2 linked regions of the Drosophila melanogaster genome follow. The protein of the gene in region 1 interacts with the protein of each later gene in a pairwise test. Each region holds a gene or a part of one and is shown on either strand. Other genes may lie near its edges.

The links. The genes of interacting proteins can lie anywhere in the genome.
Region 2: the proteins of Eip63F-1 (region 1) and Syt7 interact in a two-hybrid assay, tested with the Drosophila melanogaster proteins (one large-scale study listed by BioGRID).

The regions. Positions count from the first base shown.
Region 1 is NT_037436.4:3,930,634-3,935,588, forward strand, and holds the start of Eip63F-1 (Ecdysone-induced protein 63F 1), read right to left. Parts: upstream 3,005-4,955; 5' UTR 2,650-3,004; coding exon 2,614-2,649; intron 364-2,613; coding exon 325-363; intron 220-324; coding exon 180-219; intron 1-179.
Region 2 is NC_004353.4:302,763-307,654, forward strand, and holds the start of Syt7 (synaptotagmin 7), read right to left. Parts: upstream 3,057-4,892; 5' UTR 2,934-3,056; exon of another isoform or gene 2,599-2,933; intron 2,417-2,598; 5' UTR 2,415-2,416; coding exon 2,254-2,414; intron 1-2,253.

The DNA.
Region 1 (4,955 bases):
AGCTAGCTGCTTATCTTAGCACACAAATTGGCTGTAATTATGAATAATCAAATACTAGATAGCCACGTATATTAACCCATATTTTGTTGAGTTTTTCGCAGAAGAACAGAGGTCACTGTTCGTCTTGTTTGTAAATAAACAATTTGTCTGTTGATTTGTGGTTTGATTTGGTTACTTACCTTTGATTTCCACCTCCGTAAATGGTTTCTTTTTGACAGACTGTGAAATGAAAAAGCAAAAAAAAAAAACGAAACGAAAGTGAAAATCAAATAAATACCGACCAGTCAAAATAAACCGATCGATCCGAAATAATTTCGTGTTTACCTTGGTGGCCCGTTTGCCCAGCAATGCTGTACCCAGCATCTGTAAAACAAAACATAAAGCAAATAAAACATTGAGTATACTAAGTAAAAGTCAATGAGCTAAGGGAAAATATTAGCAGAAGTGTAAACGAAAGTGTAGCATACTCTTCAGCTGCGGGGAAAATCAAAAAGGTATTTGCGGATGGGCTAAATGGATATTTTTACATTTAGCCAAAGGTTTTTTTATTTTTGACATTCTTGTTTATTACGTTGTTCTTGGTTTATTTTAGCACCCACTTGCACTTGTTGTTTTTCAATCTATTTTCACTCGAGGAATTCCGAGCATCTCAAGTTAGCGAAAAAGAAGTGCATATGCATTTAGTGGGCTCTTTAAGACCAATTCGATAGCATCAACCCCTCCATTTAGACCAAATCTGAGGAATCTTGGCAGGGGGCTGGCCAGAGTGTTCGTGCCTACCATTTATTTATTTCCCAATTTATTTCTAAATTACGTACTGAATGGCAAGCATTTCAACTATTTTTGATTAATTGCAAAAATGAACCAGCAAATGCGGTGAAAGTGTTTACGCAAATATATCCGAATATTCCAGTATTTCCATTTTCACAAACAATGCTGATTTCAAATTCATTTAAATTGTGTGCAGATGGGAGAAGTTGATTACACTTCAATTAAAGCATGACCTAATATATATTAATTGGTGTTGAATATAAACATTTGGTTAGTTAATTTAGACAATCTAAAGGTTGCATGAATCACGCATTGTTTTCCTACGGAATAGGCTTTTATTTCTGTTTGTAATCCTACATAAAGTTCATAAGTTTAGTGTGGATGATGTTCACATGGCCCACATGGCAACCATGTAAAACCTTGTCCGAGGTTAGTTACCTTAGCCAACTGCTGCTTTATGGGCTTAAAGCGAGATAATAAATGCAGAGGTGGCATTGCTCACGTGCCAAGAACCATACAATGTAAACAAATTAATAAATTTGCGCAGAATCGGCGTTATAAAGCTCGTTTAATGGCATTTTTCGTTGACACTTGTTCAGGAATTTCCGAAAATTTGTTATGCTCCACAAAGCTGTGCCAACATCATAAATTTGCGGCTTGTTTGTATAAATCTACGATATATGAAATAAACTTTGTGTCGTCAATTAGTGAATTCGAATAAACAAGTATCAAACGTTGGACCTCAAACAAAAGCGAGCATAGTGGGCTCACATCATATTAAAATATACAAGTATGAAAGGTAGGAAAAAAGTTAATAATCGCTAGTGTTTATATTGGCCAAGTAGATACACATACGTCTATAAACAATCACGTTTTTAATGCCTTCAAAAGCACTGAAGCGCATTTTGTACGCCAAAAATCCAGAACGGGCACATTAAGAAACCATTATGATGCCCCTCCGCAAAAGTCGATTTTCCAGATATATACATCTATATCTATACTCATATACCTATATGCCTTTTATGGACGCTCGTCTGTACTTTTTAATGATGTGTTTTGGCTACAAAGTTATGGGCTGCGACAGCGACGCATTTTATGACTTAGGAAAAAATGAATGCACTCTTGTGGAGCAACTTTATGTGAGTCGCGCACATACGCTTTCAAATTAATTATCGTCTGTTCAGATCTGAATAAAATATAGCCGACGGTTCCACTCGATTTGGGCAAGTTTGTTGAGCTCCTATTGGAAATATACTTTCCGAGAAACACTTTGGCCAGCATACAGAAATTTAATATTCGACAATTCAAAATAATATTATAAGTATGCATTTTTTCCATCTTAAAATAAAAGGTTTCCAAGAAACCCGCTACCATATAGCTCTTAAGCAATTAAGTGTCGTACTTCGTATATCATTTTGTTTAACATTAATTGCTAGCAGACAATAAACCTGTTGCAATATTTATTCGCGCTCTGCGTAATGGGTTAATCTAAATATTTGACAACTAACAAATACGATCTGCCAATTTAAATGTACCTTGGCGACCCTGACAGGCGAATGTAGTACCAATATTGTTATTAAAATTATTTATAGCCGGTAGGCGAGAGAGGGATTTAATATTTGCTCATCATAAACGAAATAAAAACAAATTGTGTATACAACGAAGGCAGCTTTAGTGTCTGCCAGACGGAGAATGAAATTTGTTGCCACCATTGAAAAGCGATTAGGTAAATATTTATGCAAATGCAAGCAGGTTTTGGGCTAAAGACTCAAGATCATCTGGGAATTAGGGCTCATGAAGATCGGGTTATCCTATCGATAAGAAAATAAGCATAGTACTCACCTTTAGCTGTTGGCGCAGTCCGCTCATTGGGCTCATTCAAGAAGTGATAGCTTAGGTGGGGGAATGAATGCGGTGCCGGTGGCGTATGAGTAATATTTGGTTTCAAATCAACTTTGGCCCAGTTTCGGCTCTATTTGCCAGCACTTGAATGTGTATTAAATGTGTTAGCACTCTTGTCACTGGGCACAGTAAAATTATCCAGCAATAAAATGTGTTTACTTTGTATTTCGTATTTCCCCTCGTCGCCTGCGTATTTATATCTTAACTTTTAAGGGGATTATAATGATGTGTGTTCCTTTTTGTTTGCCTAATAATATAGCGCTTGAATTTATTTTAGCAGCGCGCGCGACTTTTTCAACGATCGTCTCGCCACGGAATCCCAAACAATATTGAGTATTCTACGGCGCTCCAACGATCAAAATGCTGCCAAAAAAAAGCGAAAGCCAAAAACAAGTTGGCGAGAGAAAAGTTGAGAGCGGTATTCCCGCTCTTGCCAGTTTTATTTTTTTTTTTTTGAACCAAAAATTTTGAAATCTCGCCTCGTTCTGGGATTGCCATTTGTTCATCTGCGTTTTTTTCTTTTTTTTTTTTTTTTTGATTTATTTTCATCGATTTCGATGCTCGTTCGCTCTTTGTCAACGGACGGCTACAGCCGGCATAAAATGTAGATCTTCTGGCGCGGCGATTTTTCAATGAGTGTATGCGTTTTTCTACAGAAAGAACTGTGCCATCAGAAGCGTATGAATAGAAAAAAAAAAACACTTGACCAAACACGTTTCCCCATATCTGTTTATCTGTTTATCAATGCGCCTAATGAGCAGGGCGAAGCGATCTCAAAAACATCCAATTCCGATGTCGCCTGCATTGGCTTAGATCAACACTTGAATGGCTATTACATAAACCGGGGCAAACGGCAAGTGTTATATTTAGTCGCGAGTCATTCAACCCGGCTGCACATGAGATGACAAGAAAGAAGTGCCAGTGCGTTCGTGTGCCCACATTGCGTATGAGCTATTTTTACCGATCGACAATCCGCCCCGTTGGCTGCACTCAAAAAGCGCTGGCAGACGGCGACGAAGCTGCGGAATCTTCGATAATTTTAATTAGGCAGCTGTCGCGGATCGCTCAGATTGTTCAGGTGAGCTGTCCAAAAGTGACACATTGCTCATACGCCGTGTGGGGTCAAAAAAAGCTGAAGCTTAAAGGTTAAAATAACACTCGAATTGAATTGAATTGCTGAGCACAGCTGCTCAAACATTCGTTAATCCTAAAGTTCACTCACAGTGCAAGCTAAATTTTAAAGATACATCGTCTCTATATATTGAAATATGTTTAATTTTAAGGAGATATAGTTGCTTTTAGAGAAGTTTTACTGTAGCCTCACGTTTCATTTGGTTTTTTATGTGTATTTAAAAATTGCACAACTGTTTCGAAGCTGTTACTGAACTCCTTATCGATCATTGGCATTATCAGTGGATGACTTTACCCCCCGATGACAGGGAACAAGAGCATCCAGGGATCGCCGTTTCCATCAAGATCGCTTCAGTTCGGATGGCTTCTAAGCAGAGACAACCGGAATTGGACTGTTTACGAGCTCATTATCAGCTCATAAACATGAAAGCGGCAGCCAGACACAGATATGTTATGAGTTATTTATTTATTGAAAGCATTTATTACTATTTCTCTAAAGGAAAATGGAAAAAGGAAAACGGGGTAATAAGCCTTTGGCCAAAACCGTGTGAACGGCTAGCAAGAGAATTATGGTGAGAAATCGGCGAGTTGCTCTTTATAGATTTCCAATGTAAATATTTACAATGTTTATTTTTAAACCATATATGTACAGATATAATATAGATGTTTGTAGTACATCGCGTATGCATGTTATGATCGTGCCAGATAAATATTATGAAACTTTGCTGGGAGCCCAGTGGCGGATCCCGTGATTTGCCCTGGACTTTAACGGGGTGTTAATGACTCTGGGAACGGCGTTTAGCAACTTAAGTTAGTTATCGGCGGAAGGCAAACAGAAATGTCGCACTTAACCGGGTCTTAATGACCCAGCCGTGATATCATCGATAGACAAACACACGACTGGCGGCCAAACGAAGCGTGAAAAGTGCCCAAGGTCGAGGGGCAAACGAAAAAGCGGAACTCTAACTGGGCAAAAAGCAGGTGCAGTGCCAAACGAAAGCCAAAACGGTTAGCGAAATCTACGTGCCTACAAATCCTGCGCACTTACAGCGAGCGGATTTTCACTGATATCCTCTGGGTCCGCAATCTTGGCCAATTCGGAACACACACACACACTAATGGATTTGCGATGGATTCGAATTCGAATCCCG
Region 2 (4,892 bases), on another chromosome or scaffold:
CTCTCGAATTTTTGTTTGAGAGCGAGAGAGCGAAGAGCGCTACAGCGAACAGCTCTTTTCAACGCACAAAGTGATAGCAGACAAATGTATGTGTGCACACGTATGCTCATGCATTGTAAATTTGACAAAATATGCCCTTCACCTCAGAAGTTCTTAGACGTTAAATCTATATTATTTTTGATCAATTGGCACCATGCGAAAAATTCTTGTTTTGCATTGCCTTAACGTTATTATTATTTGAAAATAGATTAGAAATAGCCAAATCTATGTACATATTATCACAAAAATAAATTTCAAAAATGACTTTATATAAGAATATTTTTCATTAGAGTATTCATCTTGCGGCGTGTGAAAAATTAATAAGCCAATGATTGTTGAGGGCTTGTGTCCGCACTTCGTGCCTCAAGATATTAACAAAGCATTAGAATTATTCTAGTGTCTTTGATATTACTTTTGCAATAAACAGTTATCATATTTAATTATTTAGTATATTTATTAAATCATTTGACTTAATATGATGTAACATTAACATTAAAAGTGTTTTAAAAAAATATTTCGCTTTTAAAAAATTGTCAGATGAGAGACAAATTAGAATTAAACATAAATATAAATGTGTAAACGGTAGCTAATTCGAGCGGCGATTTTAACAAACATATTTAAAGAGCTTTAAAATTATAATAGTCAGGGCGCGAATTTAAAAAAAAATTTTTTTTTTATCATATTGCTAGGAAATTGGCAAAAACTACCCTAATATGTACCATGTAAATTCGTTTCTTCGATCAGAATTGATTTCGGCCCGAAAATCGTCTTCTAGCACAACACGCACACTTATACGAGTTCTCGTCTCTTGTTTTTACTCACACAAGCAAGCAAATTATATTTTTAGATTTCTTACGCTCTCAGCGGGAGTGAGCGGAAAGAGAGTAATTTTGGCAGTCACCAAAAAAGTGGCTGCATAGTGCCAAACCAATGTATGGCCGTTACGCATCTTGTTATTCTAGTGTCTTTGGTATTTGATTATCACTTGTTACGGACTACCAAAGAATCAATCGTTTTCTTTTTTTGTGTATATGTATGTACTATTCCCTTTTGCACATTCTCTCAACTTGTGTGACAAAAATTACGATAGCTTGCGTTTCGATTGGTTGTGATTTTTGAGCGATTTTTGATCAGGATCACTAGCCGAGACGAACTAACCCTTTACGTCCGTCCATCTGCTCGCTCGTCCGTATGTACACTACTTTCAAGCTAACTGCATACAACTCTCGCAAAGTCTTATTTCAACATCTTCTCGACATTCTTTTTGGCGTACCGATAAAAACTGGAATGAAAAGAAAAAATAAAATAACACCCACCACCTTAGAAACTAAAAAAGATAGACAGTTGAGACTAAGCATGTAAATTCCAGAGACATAGGCACAGCTCAATATTGTTTCCTGATGTCGCCACGCCACAAAATTAAAACATTTTTCAAAATGTGAATAAAAATTTACGAGACTAGCAAAAATATGAAAATTCATTAATACATTTTTTAAAAGTGTCGGCGTGGCAGTTTTGGGATGGTTGTGGGCTTTAGAGTGGGCGTAGCATGAAGTTGGCAATTTAATAGAAATTTACAAAACTAATAAACGTATGAAAATACGACGGGCGGTAGTGTGGGCTTGGCAACATTTGTCTCTGGAAACTGCATGCATAATCTCAACATTCCAGCTTTTATAGTTCCTGGGATCGAGATCGGACAGACGGAATATATATACTTTATATGGTCGGAAACGCTTCCTTCTACCTGTTACTTACTTTTCATCGAATCTACTATACCCTTTTAATCTACAAGTAACGGGCATAATTAGCAATTTATATCGATTGGTTCCCGTTACAGAAGAATAAAATATTTTAACGTTAAAATTTTGTATTTGCCAATCAATCATCCGATAATAAGCTATAAATTATGATGTTTCATTAAACTGCATACAACTCAAAAATGTTGGTTTTTTGTAGCTAAATTATAATTATATATTATTATATATTGCAGAGCATGATATATAAATATTCTAAATATTCCGAGGGTACTCAACTAACGTATTTATAAAAAAGTCAAATGAATAGGACAATTTAGAAATACTGCATACTCAAAATCGTTGATAATATACAGTCATAGACATAAATAGATCCTCTATCGCTTGTTAAGAGTCGAATGTCTGTCCCCATGAAATATATAAAGTCATATACTAAACAGGAAATGCAAATACTTACCGAAGACTATAACTACTAGATTCCTCATCTTCATTTGGTTCAATAAACTGTAACTGTGATCTTTTATGCCTCCACCACAAGTATCCTCCAGCCAGAAAAAGAGCGATTGTAATAATTAATCCCAATATAGCCAAGCAAGCTATAAGTACTATGCTTGCCATGTCTGTAATAGTGAGAAGTATGTGTAATTTTTTTACGACAATTCGAATCTTAATTCAAGTAAATAACAAAGAAATCGATTATGTAAGATATAATATCTTCGGGCATACATATTTATTTCATGCAGATAAGAACGTAACTTTCTGTAACTAAGGTGTATAATAATATATAATAACAACACCCAACTTATTTTTATTTGTTTATTTTTTATACCACAGTACCACCACAGTATAAACTATGTCGCACTTTAAGATGTAGAGCATATAATATTGTTATTTAATGGCTTTCTTTTTAAAGGAGTACACATTGTTTTATGTTTGACTTATGTAAATCTCATAAAACTTGGTCCAAAACATTATTATTTGTTTAGTTCGCTGTCATAAAGGTTGCAGGTGCCGGAGATCCCAATTAAGAAATAAGCAAACCAAACTAATCCAACATTCAGTATAATTGTTACAGTACTCTATGTTTTTACACTGTCTTATTAGATTGCGTGTTGTTATTACAAATTTGAGTCTTTCCTTTGAATTTAAATAACGGCAAAAACTGTATTTTACTTTAAAACTACTTTATTCCTAAAACAATATGTCGTTTAAGTTAATATCGAGCTACTTATGCCAATGAAAACACGTCGAATACATTTTTTTATAAGAGCTCGTTTGCATGAAAAGCTCGACTCTGTGCGCATGTCATTGAAAATACTAGTATATGTATGCATATACATAGGTACGAGTTATAATACGGAGTACTTTGAAACATTTACCAAAATATAATTGTGGCTGAGTGCAGCCAATTTTGTTGTGCTACTCATTAGGAATTCCCAAAATCGGAACTTAGGGGGATAATAACTGACAAGAGTTCTGAATACAGCCATCCTTATTCTACCTTGACAAGTGCATCGAATTGTTTACTTCCTCTAGATCCTGTCATCAAATAGTTTTCTTGGCAGATCCCGATATGTCACGGTTAAAAAGAAAGCTAGGAGAGAGTGCACGAAGAAATGAAAATCTGATGCTAACACAAGAAATGAAATTAATTCACATGAATACACTTATTTATTATTATTAATTGATAAGTGGAAAAACAATGCATTCGTGTATTTTTTGTATTATTCTTTGCAAATGTCTAATGCACAAGATTATTATTACAATTAAAAATCTTCAACAGCAAATTTTTATTTTTTGTTTTTATGGTATATACAATTATTTAGAATTAACACATTTGTCATTTTTGAAATTGTATCTTTTAAAATTCTCGATATTTACTACATTTAAACACCCCACTGATGATACAGCAATAGTTATCTTAATTTCGAAATTTTCGTTAATCTTATATGAACTCAAATCATATATGTTCACAAGACAGAAGATAAGCATTGATGTATATCTTTTGAAAGGAATACGGTATTACCAAAGACACTAGAATAACAAGATGCGTAACGGCCATACATTGGTTTGCCCAAAGACCCTAGAATAACAAGATGCGTAACGCCATACGATTTTTTGGCACACGATTTTTTGGCCGTGGCTCTAGAGGTGGCTCCAGGCTCTCTCGAATTTTTGTTTGAGAGCGAGAGAGCGAAGAGCGCTACAGCGAACAGCTCTTTTCAACGCACAAAGTGGTAGGAGACATCTGTATGTGTGCACACGTATGCTCATGCATTGTAAATTTGACAAAATATGCCCTTCACCTCAGAAGTTTTTAGACTTTAAATCTATATTATTTTTGATCAATTGGCACCATGCGAAAAATTCTTGTTTTGCATTGCCTTAACGTTATTATTATTTGAAAATATATCAGAAATAGCCAAATCTATGTACATATTATCACAAAAATAAATTTCAAAAATGACTTTATATAAGAATATTTGTCATTAGAGTATTCATCTTGCGGCGTGTGAAAAATTAATAAGGCAATGATTGTTGAGTGCTTGTGTCCGCACTTCGTGCCTCAAGATATGAACAAAGCATTAGAATTATTCTAGTATATTACTTTGATATTACTTTTGCAATAAACAGTTATCATATTTAATTATTTAGTATATTTATTAAATCATTTGACTTAATATGATGTAACATTAACATTAAAAGTGTTTTAAAAAAATAATTTCTCTTTTAAAAAATTGTCAGATGAGAGACAAATTAGAATTAAACATAAATATAAATGTGTAAACGGTAGCTAATTCGAGCGGCGATTTTAACAAACAAATTTAAAAAGCTTTAAAATTATAATAGTCAGGGCGCGAATTTTTAAAAATTTTTTTATTTTATCATATTGCTAGGAAATTGGCAAAAACTACCCTAATATGTACCATGTAAATTCGTTTCTTCGATCAGAATTGATTTCGGCCCGAAAATCGTCTTCTAGCACAACACGCACACTTATACGCGTTCTCGTCTCTTGTTTTTACTCACACAAGCAATCAAATTATATTTTTAGATTTCTTACGCTCTCAGCGGGAGTGAGCGGAAAGAGAGTAA